Linked DNA regions of Struthio camelus. The protein of the gene in region 1 purifies or fractionates together with the protein of each later gene. This does not show direct contact. Links are inferred from orthologs where the notes say so. Each region holds a gene or a part of one and is shown on either strand. Other genes may lie near its edges.

The links.
Region 2: the proteins of HNF1A (region 1) and PCBD2 purify together in Homo sapiens (affinity purification with mass spectrometry; 4 studies listed by BioGRID and IntAct, with this or other methods). This does not show direct contact. The link is inferred for Struthio camelus from reciprocal best matches to the Homo sapiens genes HNF1A and PCBD2.

Annotation. Positions count from the first base shown.
Region 1 is NC_090958.1:8,142,611-8,151,694, forward strand, and holds the start of HNF1A (hepatocyte nuclear factor 1-alpha), read left to right. Parts: upstream 1-5,671; 5' UTR 5,672-6,010; coding exon 6,011-6,345; intron 6,346-7,595; exon of another isoform or gene 7,596-7,868; intron 7,869-9,084. UniProt on the Homo sapiens protein: Transcriptional activator that regulates the tissue specific expression of multiple genes, especially in pancreatic islet cells and in liver. Binds to the inverted palindrome 5'-GTTAATNATTAAC-3'.
Region 2 is NC_090954.1:4,202,930-4,212,080, forward strand, and holds the start of PCBD2 (pterin-4-alpha-carbinolamine dehydratase 2), read left to right. Parts: upstream 1-5,642; 5' UTR 5,643-5,715; coding exon of another isoform or gene 5,716-5,718; intron 5,719-6,048; exon of another isoform or gene 6,049-6,351; intron 6,352-7,010; 5' UTR 7,011-7,120; coding exon 7,121-7,213; intron 7,214-8,465; coding exon 8,466-8,597; intron 8,598-9,151. Other genes in the region: TXNDC15 (thioredoxin domain-containing protein 15), read left to right, coding at 919-970, 1,100-1,545, 2,040-2,203, 2,758-2,888, 3,551-3,747.

The DNA.
Region 1 (9,084 bases):
TTGCAGACCCAGCATCTGCTCATACTCCAAAGTGGGGCACAGCTCGCATTCCCCAGATAATTTTCTCAGTGTACTGCTTGTGCAGACTTTCTTCAGACGTACAAAGCTTTCCTCTGACTTTCAGTGACAGTTTACTCTTGACGTTACAAAGTCCTTTCAAAGTACTTGCTCTGTCTGGTGCCTTTGATGTAGACTGATGCACTACCTAGACTTACAAAGGTATTTCAGCACAAGCAGCAAACAAAAATAAGTTGTTGGTTTTTTTCCCCCCTACTTGGCAGCGTAACTCCCAGAGCACAGGGAGGCAAGCGTGGTGGCGGAGAATCAGACAAAAGCACTCGCTACAAAAAGCCCTCACCTCTGAAGAGCTTAAATGTCATTAGAGGACGTTTTAGCTAACCATGTCTTGATTCATCAAGCAGGCCGATGGAAAGAACCGCAGCAGCTTCATGCGGAGACTGCACCTTTTGGGAAGGGACATGACAGGTAGAGTTGTCAACCCTGCTTGGGTTTGGGAGGAACACGTAGCATGGAAACGAGCAGAAGGGGACGGCAGAAGTCAGAGATTCAGTTTGGCAGTGCAGCTCAGAGCTGCGCTCGGCTGTTCTGCTTGTAAGATCCTAGTAGGATTCCCCTTGCTAAAAAGAAAGCATGTGCTGACCGGTACGTGTCACACGATTCTCTTCACCACCACCTAGTGGGAAACTCCTTCATTACCCGAGCTCCAGCACTGCCCTCGCTCTCCAGCCTCATCCTCACCCTGGTGACGGAGAGTAAGCGAAGGAGGGACAGATGGATGAATGAGGAGGACAGAGTCCTGCTTCCCATAGAGGAAGAGTGCAGAGATAATATTGGTAATACCTAGAGATTACAGCCTATAATTTGTCCCCCTAAGCTGCAGCCAGTGCAGTCCCTAATGTTTGTTAGGCCTTAGCCCCATTCCCTGGGGAGACTTGCAAAGTGCCCTCTGCGCAGATGAGCATGTGAAACGTTTGTTCTTCTGGATGCAACTCTCCTTACTGCTCTTTGCAGGGTGCCAAGTTGGGAAGGTGCTCTAGCATCTAAATCAAAAGATAGCCTTGCTCTCTTCTTGCCTCTCTTTCGATAGTCCTAAGGTTGGTTATTCTGTTGAGAACGGGAGAAGGCTACCAACTAAAAATGCTTTGCTCCTCTGTAAAGACATATTTACTATTATAATCACGTATTTACAACAAGGACTACTACATGAAAGTGTTAAATGGGTATGTATTAGGAGTAGTCGAATCACATATTCAAGGGAGTCCTTCCCTGCTGCGATACTCGAGGTTCACACAAACAGCTGAAATCCAACCCTATGAAAACAACATACCAATGACAATTATCTGGGATTTTTCACTCTCCTGCATGCCACTTGGGGCCAAGCTCCCAGGGCACAAATAATAATCGGTTTTGGCACTTGTGTAGCTTTCTTTTCCTCAATCACAGAAATAGGGATGAACACAACGATAACAATAATTCTCACATTTCAAGGAGGGGATGATAGTAATGTCTTTCAGGCCAATAAAGCATTTGGCAGTCTCAGCTGGAGGAACCATAAAATGGCAAAGAATTATTAAAGGAACCACTTCTAAATACTTCTTTGGCCAATGGCAGTTTTATCACTGTATTCATGGAACTATACAGGCTCCCTCTGCTAGCAATTTTACTATAAAAATATTTAGTTTTTTTCTTTCTCTGCATGCTCCTTGAGGTCATGGCATTAGGCTTTATCCCAGTCAATCACTGTATTTTTCACTGTGTATACTTGATGGTGGATATAATTTAACAAATTAAAACACTGAAGATAACAATTGTATTGATACAAGAGTCAGGCTCTGGGAACCTCTAATCCACCTGCACTTCTGTTCACGTTACTCTGCTGCGCAACTATTTCACTTGGTTTGGCTTTCCTGTAATAAGCAGAATGCAGACCAATAGGTCTAAAATAAGAATAAAGTTCCTATTATATACCCATTTATACTTTCATGGAGTAGTCCTCATTATTTATTAATCCACAGTTCAACTACCTTATTACATGTTCTTGGGAGAAGGCAATCCATTGGAACAGTTTATCAAGGCAGACTATTATTTATCAATGAAGTAGAATGAAACAGGAAGAGAAGCCGTCCTTGCCTGGAAGCCTATTGGAGAATGCCAGCAACCCCGTTCTGTGATGCAGCTGTCACACAGTGTTACCAGACCGCCTACTACTTGAAGGGAAGAAACTTATAAAAATAAAACAAACAGACAATGTATTAAAGCGTAGGTAGGACAATGCAGATTATTTGAACATGTTTAAAGAATCTTTATTAAGCATGCCATTAAAATAAAAAACCTACAGAGCTCAGAATCCTCAGGTGTGATTATGATTACTAACCGATAGATTTCTCCAATCGGCATCCAGACCATTCTGTTAATATAACATTTTTCTTGAGCTTTCTATTAAGCTTACCAGTTTATTGTTGTAAAGCTGCTCGTGTCTTGTTACTGAAGTATTGTTTGAAGGATCTCGACCACCATATTAGTTATGCTTAATGAAAAATAAGTTTGCAGGAGGAAAAAATAATACAAAACCAGATACTGCAGACAAACATGAGAAAAGGCAGGTATCACTCGGGGCCTTCATACTTCAAAAACTACCTCTCCCTTACAGTTACCAGCATCATGTTATTCCGGGTGACTCGAGAATCAAGATATGCCCCAGTAAATTTTTGCAAGTAAGAAAATCAACAAAGCAAGTACAAAAAACAACAAAATCAACTGATATAGAATGCAAATGGGTATAGCAAAGCCAAATCCTTTTCTTTCAACTATTCCTTCTCAAGGCAAAATCCATGAGGCACAATTTAGATATAGGAATATATTGTTTGGATTATGGTACTCTACAATTTAGCTCTTGCTCTACTACTAGAACTATAATCTAGCTGGTTAAAGCTTTGCAGCTTCCACTCTTGACCTCTGCTATCCTTATTACCTCTCAGCAGGATATTGTGGCAGTTGTAATAATCTGAGAAACCCGAGCTTGCAGTCCTCAGTGTCAATATATAGAAAAGGGGTGCTGGTTAACCCATAGCAACAGTTTCCGTCCTACCTCCCACTTGTTCATTCTGACAGTTTAGCAATTTGTAACATCTGAGAAACACTGAAAAGCTCACTGGTTTCCTTGCACTGAAGAATCTGAATTAGATCCTTGATGGAGTGCTGAATCATTTGCTAGCATATCTGGTTTGGCAGGTTACAGTGAATGTAAAAATGACAGTGTAGACATTTTTAAGGAAAGTTTTTACCTCTTCCTTGGTTGTCCAGGCTCTTGGAGTTTAAAATGGGCAACTCCAATAGATCAAGGGAAAAAGACCTTCAAGGATAGAGTGATGGAGAAATTTACCTCTTCCTCAGTATTTGAAAGGTTTCCACGTTAAACGCAGGATTCCTCATGTGGTATCCAGTTGTAGCATCCTGTAGGTCCTAACAAACAGGCAGATGTTCATTTTTGGTTTTATAGCCTTTGAAGTTCATTGGTTTCAAGAGAGGCTGTTTTAAAAGCTTCAGCAGCTGAAGGCCTCCGGGGCAAGCAGAACCAAGAGGGAAGGGGCTTCTGGTACACGAGGAATCCTTAAAACCACATGATAAATACAGATAATTTCTTGATATATTTTTTTTCCTTCTTTACAGTTTCCCCAACAAATACTGCTGTTCTTTGTCTAAACTTCAGGATTTTTTTCCTGCAAGTGTGCAACAGAAGTATATATTCACAGAAAATAGACTGGACAGTCTATAAATAAAAACAATGTTAGCATTTTCCATCCCCTCTAGTTTAGGTAAACAAAATCACTGTGCACAAAGGCAGAAGTAAGTAACAAGACATGGCAGCATCTTCCCTGCCACATATTGCAGCGAGCTCACAATCTGTTGTCTCTGCATGCAAAATCCTTGAATTACAAGGATGCATCATGCTGAAACCATACATCATGGTTGGGTACTGTCATTACAATTGGTAATTACTGTTACCAGCCAGCACTGTTAGACTGTCTACTGGGGGGAGAGGGGGGGGGCGGGATGAGGAAAATTGTAATCAAAAATAAAATGTACAGAAATTGTATCCAAATATTGCTAGGACAATGCCAAAAAAGCTGAACATTTTTAAATGCTCTTTACTAAACCTGCTATGAACATAGTGAAGTATTTAGAAACTAAAGATCTTATTTTACATTAAATATTTTCACACGGACTCTGAATTGGTACTCCTTTTTAGGCAGACGGAGGGAGTCTGCTGGAGCCCCGTCTGAGCCTTTTCAGCTTCCAGCAGTGAGGGGAGCTGGCACTCGGGGGGCAGACGCCTCTGAAACGAAGGCCAACAGTTAGCAGCAGTCCTGGCTGCGGGGTCAGCCCAGCAGCAGCTTGCTGCGACTGCAGGGAGGAGGGCGCCAACCTGCCAAGGAGCTCAGCCCCTCCGTGCTGAGCCTGGCGAGCACGGCTCCCGCTGCCCGCGAAGGGAAAACCGGCCAAGGTCGCTCTGCAGCAGCGTCTTGGCCAGTGCTCAGTCTGGGGCCATCCTATGGGGATGGCTAAGCTCCTCTTAGCTTGGGCCTGATGGCAGTATATAAAAGTAGACCAGTAGTTGCTCCTAGGAAACCTCTGTTAAAACAACAGTTTTAAACCCTTCTCCCATCGATCACACAAGAAGAAATCATTCACACGAGACCCTTACACACCATCAAGCCCACACTTGCATACTAAGTTATTCCCTAGCCCCTTGAAGTAAACAGATGCATTCATATATTTGCAGATGAGAAAAGACCACCAGTCATCGCGGCCTCCCGACAACTCCAAGCAACGCCAGCCAAGCTGGCTAGGGTGTTTTAGAAAGTCACCCAAAAGGTGGGGGGTAGAACCAGAAAGCACAGCCGGCATCAAGAGGGGATGGAGGTAGATGCTAAACGGGAACCACCAGCCTGTCCAGGGCACTTCTCCAGAGAAGCAGAGCAATCGGAGATAGGGCAGGGACTTTCGGTGTGAACCAACACCCAGGGCTGCTCCTTATCGTGTGCTTGAATCATCAGCTCAACGGGGCAAGTCATGTAATCCCCCAAATTATGTGGGTACGCTCATCAATTAAACAATACATACAGCAAGTTATAAAGGAGGTACCAGTATTTGCATATCAAGGTACTCCAGCAAGCCAAAGCCAGAAGTGAAAAAGTCATTTAACACTCAATGCTGTGCCGTAGAAGTCAGCTGGAGCTCCACAACACGCCGTGAGTCTTGGGAACTTCCCTGTAAACCCAGCAGTTGCACTGGTCGGCCGGGGGGGTGGGCAAAGGCGAGCGAGGCTGCCGACGCAGCCGTCTCCCAGGGCCAACGCCTTGGCAGGGGCTGGTTGAACCTCTCTGCTGCTGGAGCTCTGCGTGGGCTCCACAACCTCCCACCAGCAGCACCTTCTCCTGCACAGGCACCGCCAAACCCACCCCTTGCTTTTGGCTACTCCGCCTCCTTCCTTCTCCAAAACTAATGGGGCCAGAAATGAGCCATGTTTTTTCCCCGTTTTCATTTCCCTACTTTTCTTTCCGTATCTTTTTCTTTTCCATGCTGGCAGACCTTCTACCCCTCCGTTTTCCTCTCCTTCCCTCCCTTTCCCCCTCCCCCTGCTTTCTCTCCCTCTGCACTTTGTGAACTGCTGCTGCCGTGCTGAAGTCCAAAGTTCAGTAACTTGCTAAGCACACAGATAAATATGAACCTTGGAGAATTTACATTGCTCCAATGTAAACAGATAGCCAAGGGTCCCTTTATCAGCACCGGCTCAGGACAGTCGTGGGGGGTCTGAAGTGGCTCAATTTTGTATTTTGTTTTTTTGGGGGGGGGGGGCGTAAAGGCGGGAGGCTGCGCTGTGCCCACTCTGCCGACAGTCAGGCGCGTTACCTCGGGAACATGGTGTAGGGAAGCTGGAGGCAGGATAAGCTGAAATTCAAACCCAAGAGGCACGAGGCTGAAGACCATGGTCTCGAAGCTGAGTCACCTTCAAGTGGAGCTGCTAGGAGCGCTGCTGGAGTCGGGGCTGACCAAGGAGACCTTGATCAAGGCGCTGAGCGAAGCGGAGCCCTACGTCCTCCAGAGCGAGAGCCAGCGCGCCATCCATGCCCTCCAGACAGAGAAAGGGGACTCGTGCCCCGAAATCCCCGCTCTCCCCAACGGCCTGGGGGAGGCCAGGTTATCGGAAGATGAAACCTCTGATGATGGGGAGGAATTTACCCCTCCGATAATGAAGGAGCTGGAGAACCTGAGCCCTGAGGAGGCTGCTCACCAGAAGGCTGTGGTGGAGAGACTATTACAGTAAGGACACGTTTGCTGCTCCTCTTTGCTGCTCTTTCTTGTATTCTCTCCCTCCAAATCTCTTTCCTTTCCCCTTCCTTTCTTCCTACCAGCGTCCCTGGTATTCACAGCTGATCTAACCGCACAGAGACTGTCTTCATCCATGCCAGGACTAGCAGCCCCCCAAATTCTTTGCAGATGCTCAAACTTGTCTTTTGATCACACTTCCAATGCGTAAAGGGAGCTATGGAGCCTGATTGCACATTAGAAGTGCTCGTATCATCAGGAAACGGGCGTCAGAGCACTCCGAGGCCTGGACACCCTGCATCTCTCTGACTAAACGTTAATTTTTATAGGAGTCACAGATTCTGTCATCAAGGGAGAAAAAAATAAAAATAAAAGCAGCCCATAAAAATCTGGTCTCTGTTAACTGGCCTCGCAGTAGTCTTAGAAATTATGGTAGAGAGTTTTAGTTTTTCCTGCTATTTTTAAGGAGGTTAAAATTTTTTTTACTGGCTTTTCCTATAGATGTTATTTGTCAAAGATAAACCAAGAGAGCTTGTTCCTGTCTTTCGTGCATGTGCGAAATTCTCCTGACTTCACTGGGGATTTTTCTTGTAGAAAGAGCAGAAACCAAATATACGCAGAGGTTAGAAAGAACTCGCTATGCTCCTACCCTCCGCCGTCTGCCGTAACTACAGAGCACACATAGGAACAGTTACAGGTTTTACTGCCACAGAAATTTGCCTTTGCATGCAAGCATTAAGTCAAAAGACAGGAAGAATCCCCTAAACCAGCGAGTCTCATGACAGGCCCAGAGAAACATTCACCAGGACTCACGTTTGGGATTCTTACTGGGGTGCAAGCCCTAATAACCACCCTCAGAGGTTTGTCCAGGCGAGGATCAGGTCCTTCAAAGCCATCTAGCCCAACAGCAGCAGAATACTGCCCCTCCGTTTTGGAGGTACTCTGAAACCACAAGCTGTTGGGAGACACGAGATGCAGCACCGTCCTGCATTTCAAATCTTCACTAAAACTAAAATCCAGTTAGAGAATTTGTTGGGCCTTCTGATTAATCCTCTTCACGGTTAAAGGGAATTAACAAAGTGCAACAATAAGAGGCAAACATCAAATCCCACTACAAAAGGCCAGAGCTAGAAAAACAGCATGACAGGCGTTAACATTCGCTGTAAATATTTAAGAGAAGAGCAGCTGGGAGCTGATGTCTATGCAGTTCTCAATGGAAGAAAATTCACAGGATCAGCTCTTACCTGGGAGGGGAAACATTCCCAATAATTCAATCTTCTTTTTGGCCCCAAAAGTCTGCCTCTCTTTTCTTCCCCCCCCCCCCCCCAGCTCTGCTACATCTCCTCTTCCCCGTACTGTTGCTCTCCCATTCTCTTTACCTGTTCCCTTTTTCTCCTCACTTTTGTCTCTGCCACTAGTCCTCCCATTTTGATGTCTTCCTGGCTAATTCTCTCTCACATCCTTCCTCACTCTTTTCCTTCCCCTCATCCTTGTCTCCTTCTCTTCTCCCTGAGTCTGCGTACAGGTCTTGGGGTAGTTTGAGCCCAGTGGCACCGGGCGGGCCCTGGCTAGTTACTAATTATCCAATGGCTTTATTATTTCTCTTTTGTCTTATAAATTTATAGATGAAAAGACCCTGATAAGCTTTTTGATCATTAACTTCTGATGGTTTATCAGGTATCTCTCCAGAAAGGCAGCCATGTAGGTGGAAGAGGAGCACCCGGCTTTGTCCCACTCTGTAATGAATGGGTGCAGCAGGGCTGAAGGGCCGCCTGCCGTAATCTGAGAGCAGACTCACAGACAGAAGGGGCTCCTTCCTGCCACCCTCGCTTCACCATGAATTCCAGTTTCTGATCCTCCCTGCCTTTCCAGGAGCTGGCTACCAGCCTCTCCTGTGCTTCCTACCAGTCTCAGCACAACACTCTTACCTACCTTGCGTGCCTGCAGTATTATTTATGCTTTCCAATCAATGGTCTCCCTTCTAGATGGCCAACTGAGCAGCATTCCCATTTTACAGAAATGGGAACTGAGGTACAGATTCTCTGACTCATCTAAAGACCCCTAGGACAGTGGCGAGAGGATTGGGCAAGAGCCAGGATCTCTTAAGCCTTGTACTGGGTCTTAACTGCAACACTTTGTTCTGAAACCTCAGGGCTTGCTTTCTTCAGTCCTCAATGTCACAGGATACATCAGTTCACTTCTGCTGTTCAGGGCAGTATAAAGGGAACCAGAAGCCACCCAGTTACAAGTGTCCTTATGGGGGGATATAATGGACCAAAACTATTTGAGGTGGAATGGAGAGAGTAGGAAGCCCATATTGACAGTCTTCATATTTCTGGTCAAAGACTTAAAAAAAAATCAACTGTATATCTGGGAAGTATATTCAAAGCATGTCAATACCAGGGTCTGATGGTACATAAACAGTAGCTACCAACTAATACATACTGGGTTTTTTTTGTTTTTTGTAAGAACAAACCTTTCCATTAACAAACACCTAAAGGTAACGTCCTTAAAATAGTGTTACAAATAAGCGTAGATACGGGAGAACAGTCTTTAACAGAAATTACTCCCAGCAGCAGATGAAAGGAAGGAAGGCAAAAAAAAAATGATCTCCAAGCACAACTTCAATGCTTGCAAAGCTGTTTCAGCATCTACACAAGCATTTCAAGTCTTTGAGAAACCAGATGGAGGCACTTTTACCTCTAAGCAGAAGCATTGCTGGGCACTATTAAA
Region 2 (9,151 bases), on another chromosome or scaffold:
TACAATCATAACATCCTGTCAAGTCCTCAGGATGACCTTTCCCTTGGTGCAAGAATTTTGGACCTGAACTAGTTTACAGTCAACAATAAAACGCCTGCTGACCTCCAGGAGCATGAAAGACTAAAAATTACCAAGGGCTCACCAGTACAGCGTGTGGCCTGTGGCTGTCAGTGGGGCCCATCTCTGTGAAGATCGTGCACGTAAATGCCTGGAGCTGCTGTTTTCTGTGCCCATGCTGTAGAGGGCCTGAAAGGAAGGGGGGGGTCAGAAGACAGAGTGAGAAAACATGTTTTTTAAAAAAAAAAAAAAAAGTATTTAGTATTTGTAGTGAATGGGACTTGAGCTGAACTCTCTCTGAATGCTGCTTTTTATTTTCCTGTCTAACCTCTAGCTGGCTTCCCTTTCCTCACGCCGGAATGACTAGTTTACCCATGGGGCACTTTTGATATTTGGCCTTTTTGAAGCCTGAAGCGATTGCGGGCGATAACATCCCTTCGGCCTCGTTACTCGGGTCGCCTCCCCATCGCCTAGCGCGGCCCGCCCTGCGGCAAGACGTGAAAACACCGTGAGCTGCAGGAGGAAGAAGAGCAACTGTCAGGCCCAAGTAACTTTCCTGATAAGCAAACTTAAAGAATTACTTCCCTGGGCGAGAGGAGGGGAGAAAAAAAAAAAAAAAACCACCCCGGGCGTCTCCGCGCCGCGGCCGCGGCCGCCCCGCCCCGACAAGATGGCGCCAGCCCCGCCCCGACAAGATGGCGCCGGCGCCAGCCCCGCCCCGCCCCGCCGCGGCGCTGCGCTGCGCTGCGCGCGGCCGTCGTGCGCCGGAAGCGGCGGCAGCGGCGGCGCTGAGGCGGAAGCGGCCGTTGTCCGGGGAGACGCAGCGCGGCCGGGCGCCGGGAGGGCCGCGGCGCGGCGGGGATGTGGCGGCTGGCGCTGACGCTGGCCTGGCTGAGCGGCGCCGTCCCTGTAGGTGAGGCCGGAGCGGGGGGCGGTGGGCAGCGGTTCGGGGCCGATCCCGGTCCCGCTCCTGCTGCTGGGAGGTGGAAGCGGCGGCCGTGGCCTGCCCGGCTCCGTCTCTGACGCCTCTCTCCCGCCGCAGGAGGCGCGGCGGAGCCGGGCGGCCGCTCTCCGCCGCGCCACGCCGAGGGAGGCTCGCCGCCGGGGGGCGGCCGGCCGGCGCAGTACCGGACGGCGGAGATGGCCGACGCGATGCTGGGCAGCGGGCTTCCCGCCGAGCAGCCCGGGCTGCTCTCGGTGCTCCCGGCGGAGCCGAGGGACGGGCCCGCTCCCGCCGCGGCCAGCGGCGCTTGCGAGGCTGCGGCCGGCGGTGGGGAGTGCGGCGGCCCCGCGGCCCCCTCGGCTCAGCCTGGCGCCCAGGGCCGCGAGCTGGCGGCGGGCTCCCCGGTCGTGCTGGAGACTGTGCTGCCCGCGCCGGCCGAGGAGCCCAACGGCACCGAGGGCGCGAAAACGCCCAAAGTGAACTGCGAGGAGAGAAACGTCACCGGCGTGGAAAACTTCACGCTGCAAATCCTGAACGTTTCTCAAGTAAGCAAGCCGCTCGGTGCCCCGCTTCGTGCCGCTTTGAGCGGCGGTGGTGAAAGATGCGATGTCCGTGCGCTGCGTAGGTGTCTTTTGCGCTTCGACTTACTGAATTGCTTTGTGTGAAGTTCTGTGCGTTTAATGATTGTCTGAGCAAGAAGGCTTTTCAGTCTTTCTGAACAGAAATATTGGAGGTGCAGCTCAGTCCGCATGCCTGTGCGTGTGTCTGCCACGTGTGTGCCCGTAGTGAATTGTCAGCTTGCACGGTGGGCAGGTTGGTGTCTCTCTGAAGTTATTAACGACGCTTATTCCTAGTGATAGTGTCTACTTCCGTTTTATTTCTTATAACGGAGAGAATTTTAATTTTAAAAAAGCATTAAGTATGCAGCTACTTGAGAAATGCTGTCAACTCTAACTGCTTGCTGAATGATCCCTTCTGTTGTGCAAGAACTCTTAAATGTTTAATTGTTTGTGTCTGTGTTTGTTCTGCTTTCTCTAAGGATCTGATGGAGTTCTTAAACCCAAACAGCAGTGACTGTACGTTAGTGTTGTTCTACACACCGTGGTGCCGCTTCTCTGCCAGTCTAGCACCTCATTTTAATTCCTTACCTCGAGCATTTCCAACTCTTCGCTTCCTAGCCTTGGATGCATCTCAGCATAGCAGGTAATTCAGGCTTTCTATGCTCTCTTCTCAGTTTATTTCCAATAGCAAGTTTTGAATTTTAAAAACAGGAGTGATTTTTTTCTGAAGCTGTTTAATATAAATGGTTATTTGCCTATTTTATTTTTGGCTGTGCTGTTAGCATGTTTTTAGCACTTGACAATTTTACCGTAAACGTGCAAGAAACATATTACTATCTCAGTAGGTATAATTAAATTGATAACTGTGTTCTGCTAATTCATTTTGGGACTTCATTAGTCAGAAGAGTGTTACGTATCCTCCACACTCCAGTATATCCTCAAATAACAAGGCTAAGACCCATACAATACATGTGTTTATGGTGAAATGACATGCTGATCCAGTGCTAAATCTTGCGTTGTTGACTAATTCAGCAGTAAAGCGTTTCCCTAATACCACAAGAAGGTGGTTGTATGTTGTTTGTTATAAAGTGACAAATTATAATAATAAAATTGTTATTGCCTTTATTGTGATCTCTTATTTCTTTCTTCAGTGGATTTATTTTCCCTCATATCTTATGTTTGCTTTGTGTCCATCAGTTTATCAACTAGATTTGGAACTGTGGCTGTACCCAATATCCTCCTTTTCCAAGGTGCTAAACCTATGGCTAGATTTAATCATACGGAGAGAACACTGGAAACACTGAAAGACTTCATTTTTAATCAAACAGGTATGTAAGTCAGCTCTGATGAAGAACAGGAATAGAAAGAACAGGATTACCTCTTAGCTCCAAACTGAGCTTTTCTCTCCCTATTCTTTCTTATTTTAAATAAGTTTCGTGAAGGCCCTGAGGGGACCACCTGCAGCAGAGGTTCATTTAATCGCTTGCTTTAGTGAGTTGGATTTCAGGGCATGCTAAAAGCAGACACTCAACACACTGCTGGAGGAGACAAAAGGATGATCTGTCTGTCCTCACTGTGAGCTCACAGTCAGACAGCTTTCTGGGCTTTCTGTGGTGTATTCTCCTGGGGGGGGGGGGGGGGAAGTATCTGGGCCAATGACGGCCTTCATTAGAGGCCAGGAATTGTTATATTTGCTAATGTAGCAAAAATACCAACCCCTTCCCCTCACCTCCTTAAAAGAGCTTGTGCTGCGGAAGAACAGAATGAACCTTTTCCAGTATCACAGTGTTAAGAAAATACACGTATACGTTGATAGGCTTTTAATTCCACATGAGTAAACTATATGGTAGACACCTTAAAATATAAGGACTATCTCACCAAAATTCTAAGTCTAGCTGTGCATGCACCTTAATTTGAGAACAGGAAAAAGTTCCAACTTATTTGTATTAAGTAATTATTATTGATGTTGATTAAGTGATTCTCTTTTCAGGAATAGAAGCTAAAAGGGATGTGGCTGTGACTGAGGAAGACTGGGAAGGCCCTCTGCCTAGTGTTCTGACAAAAGGAATAGATTGGCTGCTCCTGTTCTCTTTGCTCTTTCTGGCTAGCTTTATTATGTACGCTACTATTCGAACTGAGAGCATTCGGTGGCTAATCCCAGGACAAGAGCATGAACATCAAGAATAATTTGAGATGCTGAAACAGGGACAGGATTTCTTGCTTATTTGTAAAGCAGGAATTTGTATGGACTAAAAGTATGAATGTTCAAATATTCATATTCAAATGAACTGTTGAATTTGTTGGTTGTAATTTATAATCTTGACTGAAAATCTGCTTTTTTATCAACTACTGAATTTGTAAAAGGCAAACACATGATGGTTAACATGGTAAGTAAACAAATATGAAAAGATATTAACTAAAAATGTATTTATTACACTGCTAATTTGCTTATTTTTAATGTACCTTAATGTAAATGTGATACAGTTCTACTTTGCTCTTAAGAGAGGTCCCTGTGCTTTGTAGATCAATTAAGAGTTCTACAGCGTATTTGCTTGTATATGTGGCATTGCTTGGCAGAGGAGTAGAGCTGCTTCCATTCAGATGGAATCTGGGAATCTTCTTTTGTAAAACCCACAATTTCTGTATGGATGACGCAGTATATACAATGGAGTTGGGATGTGTTGACCCACGCAGATCATACTCATTTTCTGGCTTAGGTATCCCTGAAATAGTAAAGTGTTAAGGGATACGTTAGTCCAGGGTGGTGGTACTAAATTAGTTTGATTGTCGGGAAAATGAAGAAAAAGGTGCTTTAAAAATGAGCGTACGTTGAATGATTTCATTGTCTAAAAAGACAGTATGTATTTGCTTTGCGCTTCTGGAGGCGGTCATACCAGCAATAATAAAAACTTAAAAACTTGTACGATTCAAGTCAGGATGACTATTTCCCACCTTTGGTATTGAGATTAGATGCTGTTTATCTTGTTTACTCTGGTCCGTGAGTTCTGAGTAACAGTTGGACTTGCGACGGTGATTCTTCATGAGATTTAGAATAACTTCTAAAGCTCAAGCCGTTGTGTATATGTGTGGGAGTGGGGGTGTATAACGTATATAGCACTTTCATATGGAATTAAATTGCATTTGTGAGCTTTACCTTTAATGAATTGGGTTTTTAGCCTAACTTTTAAGTCGCTTGCTCACAAGACTACAAACGCAGCTTTTGAAGTATGGATCACCAACCTGAATTAGTGAGACTAGTTTTCAGATTTATTTGCATTTATGCTAACATGTTTGCTTGGTTGGAAAGTCTGCAGCTGAGACTACATAAAGAATTGATCCAGCTTTTAGTGGTCACTAATATGGAAGACCTTGACGAAGGTACAGTCTGCTATATTGCATGTTTTTTTTGATTATTTGATGGCATAGCATTTATGTGTGTAGCGCAGGCTTGCTCTAAAACCCTGGTATGAAGCTTTACAGTGGAAATTGAACCAAGAAGGAACAAGTACAGTGGTAAGCTGTGTTGCTTAACAGAGGACTCCTATTCCTACAAAATAGTTCTTTTGTTGTTGTTTTCCATAACTTTCCAGAGAAGGAAGGGTCAGTTCCTTTACTTGTGTGTGTTAAATGGCAACTGCACTGATAAAACTTAGATATTATTGAGGATAAAGTTAGAAAGTGTTCTTTTTAGTAAGACTCCAGATTTTGAGGGATGAACTGGAGAGCTCTTTCCTCTTAGCATCCCTGTGGCTTCAGAGGCGCAAGGGTGGGTTCTCCCCGCCACTTATCTCCCTCGATACCTACAAAGAACGAGTGAGGCCTTTAAAAAGAAAATCCTGCCGCCTCCGCTGTGAGAAGTGACTGTTTCAGCGCCGTCCTTGCGGAACCGAAAGCGGATTTCCTTGGACGAGCGGCAAGCGAAGCCCCGCAGACCGGCCCGGAGCGGGGGTGGCGAGACCCGCGCTCGCTCGCGGAGGCGCCGCCTCGCCTGCGCCCTGGCCGGTGGCGGCGGGGGGGGGCGCGGGCTCCGCCCGGGGGCGGGGCGGGGCGGGGCGGGGCGGGGGCGCCGCCATGCCGGGCTGCGGCGGCGCCGGGCTGCGGCGGGCGCTGCTGGGAGCGCGGCGGGCGGCGGCGGCGGGCGGCGGCCGCGCCGCCATGGTGAGGCGCCTCGGGCGGGAGGGGGCCGCGGGCGGGGCGGGGGCGCCGGGCTCCGGGGCGGGGGGCGCCGCCGCGCCGGGCGGATCCGCGTCTGAGCTGGGCTTTATCTCGGCGAACGAGCCCCCCCCTCCACCCGCAAGCTGTGCGTTTCAGCAGAAAAATTCCAATTTGTCCTTTTTTATTGTTATTTTTTACACCCAGCAATAACTACTTGCGTATGCCAGTTTAGGCCGCTGCCCCTCAAACGCCCCATATCCTGTGCTAACCTCTCAGCAACTAACTTCATTTTTTCGTTCTCTGCTCCCCGAGCCCCTTTCAGGTGAACGTTACCCGTCGGAGCCGTGGGGCGGGTGCCCGGTGGGCCGCGGCCGCCGTCCCTGCCGCCCGGCTGCGCTCCCCGACCTGGTCGGCTATGCTCCGTTACGCGGCCCCTACGGAGGCGTTACCCTGAAAACGCACGTGGCACCTCATACTTTCTTTTTCTTCTTTTAATTGACGTTACTTCCTACTGCGTTTGCTGAAATCTCCGAACGTGGTTGTGACGCGCTTGAGGGAGTAACGCGGAGCACGGCCTTCGCGGTTTACGCCTAACCGAGGTGCTGTGCTTGCTGTGCCCCCGGTCCTGTGTCAGACTCCGTCCTCGCGTTTACGCGAAGGAACGTGTGATCTAACTGGAAGTCACGGCGTTGTCCCTGTGGCTTCTGTGGCCGAAATAAGGCCTCAGGAAGGCAACTGAAGCGTGTTTAAAACTAACCAAACAACATCTCTGCTGACAACCGGGAGAACGAACTTTGTACTGACTCCTGGTCCAAATCCTGGGCTCTGCTGTCTAAACCAAAACCGCCCAGAGCTTTCGTAAATCATCCTACTCGTTTCGCCTCTTGGCGGATAAAATAATAAATGTGAGGGCTGCTGTTAACTGTGGCAGTATTTGCACGTGACTGGGGAAAAGGCGAAAAGAAATTCAAACCCACAAGGTGTTGTCGTAGCAAACTAGCCGGTGAACAGCTGCTTCTTTATTCTTGCACATCGCGAGTTTTATTCTGAAGAGCAGCCGTCCTAAATTAGTTCGGTGTGGGGACTGTAAAGCCCACGTGCTAGAGCGATATATATCCTATTGAACCCGAACAATTGTAGCGACGCTGTTGGAGTGACTTCAGACTGCTTTTATTTATTTATTTATTTTTTTTTGGGTCCCTTATTACTGGTGAAAATTTTGCCTCTTGGACATCACCGAGGCCTCGGCAGGTCGCTCCTCAGCGATGCCTGCGCCTTTGCTGTTGTCCTCTCAGGGGCGAACACCTGGTGGTGAAGAGCAGCCTCAAAGGCCTGGCCTCGGCCAGCACCGGGAGCAGGAGCTTGCGCTCTGGTTTGGCACGCAGCACCACCTGGTGGCAGAGGGATGGCAGCAAAGCCGCGGCCGCAGACCTGCCTGCGCATCGCGCTGCCTGCTCGGAAACGCTCGTTGTACGCCTTCGCGCTGTCGAATGAGTCTGTAAGTGCAGGGCACAAGAAAGTGGCTGGAGGTTAAAGACTGGCACTCCTGTAAGGAAATAACTGCGCGTGTAACTGCCAAAAAAAAAAAAAAAAAGCAAAAAAAAAAAAACTTTCAACGGAAGAGCTTTGCTTTTAGATACTTGCAGACCTTCAGCGCGTTATTTGAAGTCCTGGTGCAAAGTTGCTCAGCGGCTTTCAGTAAGGTTTCACCTAATTGTGATAGCCTACGAATATTTATAAAGGCTAAAGCAAACTGAATTTTGCTCTACTGGGGAGAAAACTTCTTCCTGTTAAATTATTGCATTTATAAAGTGAATTTGAGACCAGTCTGTTAGAATAGACAGTCTGTAATTAGTCACTCATACATTTAATCTCAGTTTCTAGGAAAAATATCAAACCTCTTCCAAATAACCTGTAGACCTTTCTGTCTTCAGGCCTACTTTTTTAAGCACCGATTTAGATATTTAAGCAGGTAGTGTAATCCGTTAAGTCTGTGCTCCCATTGGGTTTAGAAGGACTCATTTTGCTGAAAATTGGACATATGTTTAAGTGCTTTGTAGACTCAAGTGCTTGTATCAACAACTTCTGACTGCATGTGTTTGTATATTCATTTTTTTTTTGTTTTGTCAGTGAAAAAAACCTTTCTATTGCTTTTAGACTTCTGTAATGCTTGCTATTTGTAAATCTATTCTTAATTCCTTAGGAAGAGTAAAATACAAGTTACCTGTAGTACAATCTCATTTTATATGCTGTTTCTCTGTTTCAAAATACAGATATTTCCCTGATATATCTCTTCTAGCCTCATGTAATTGTACATTTAGTGCATAATATATGCAATCTCTTAACTACATGCATTTTGCTATGTATGGAAATGAATTCAAGTGTCATAGCATCTGGATAAATCAGATGAACAAAGTATAGGATACAAGTATGCTGGTGTCCATGTTTGGTCTCATAAAAGAGTCTATCACTCCTCTATAACGCTATGTGAAAACATATAGCCAAACTTAATGGACCAAACAGAAACGATGTTTCTTGGTGGTTTTGAGTAATGTGAATTATGCTGATCTGTGAAATTCTAAAAAGTAACAAACCATATAGTGAATTTTCCACCTCTTGTTTCTTGAACTTTTACATTTCTACAATACATAACAATACAATACATGTGGTTTTCTTCTTGTTGTATAAAAGAGAACCTCAGCCTCACTTGTGGAATGTTTCTTTTTTTTTCTTCTTTTTCCCCTTAATAGTCTTCGCAGTCTCACTGGTTGACAACAGAGGAAAGGAACCAAGTTTTACTTGATCTTAAAGCTTCAGGCTGGTCTGAGTTAGGTGAAAGAGATGCCATCTACAAAGAGTTCAATTTCAAAAATTTTAATCAGGTAATTATTGTTATATACCACTTTTAATATAAAGGAAGCGTAAGTACTTTAATTTCCATATGATCCTGATGGGAAACTATCTATATTCAGAAATTTGGGAGCGTCCTTTTGAGGCCAAACACTGTTGGACTTGCTTATGTGGATTGTTCTCTGATTCTGATCTCATTAGGTGGAGTAAATAATTCCAATGCTGTAGCTGTATGGTAGGTTTATTGTAATACTACAGTTTCTTAATTGTAATATTGGGGTCAAGGTGGGGGTCGGTACTATGGGATTAGACAAATAATATTTGATCTTGTTGGTTTTTTTAATAGCACTCCTGAATTAATGGTAGAAATACTTAGCTGTTGGATGGCATGGTTCATTTTTGTCTGGGAAGAGCTTGAAAAAGATGAGTAAATGTAAGAATAGAAACTTTTGGGAAATAAGGGGGGGAAAGTATGATAAGCTTCACCTCCTAAACAGGAAGGCAGAGTTCTGATACGTTTCTGAATGAATTGCAACAGCTAATCTTGCGCTGTCTTTGGTACAGTGGATTATTGGTTAGGCCTCGT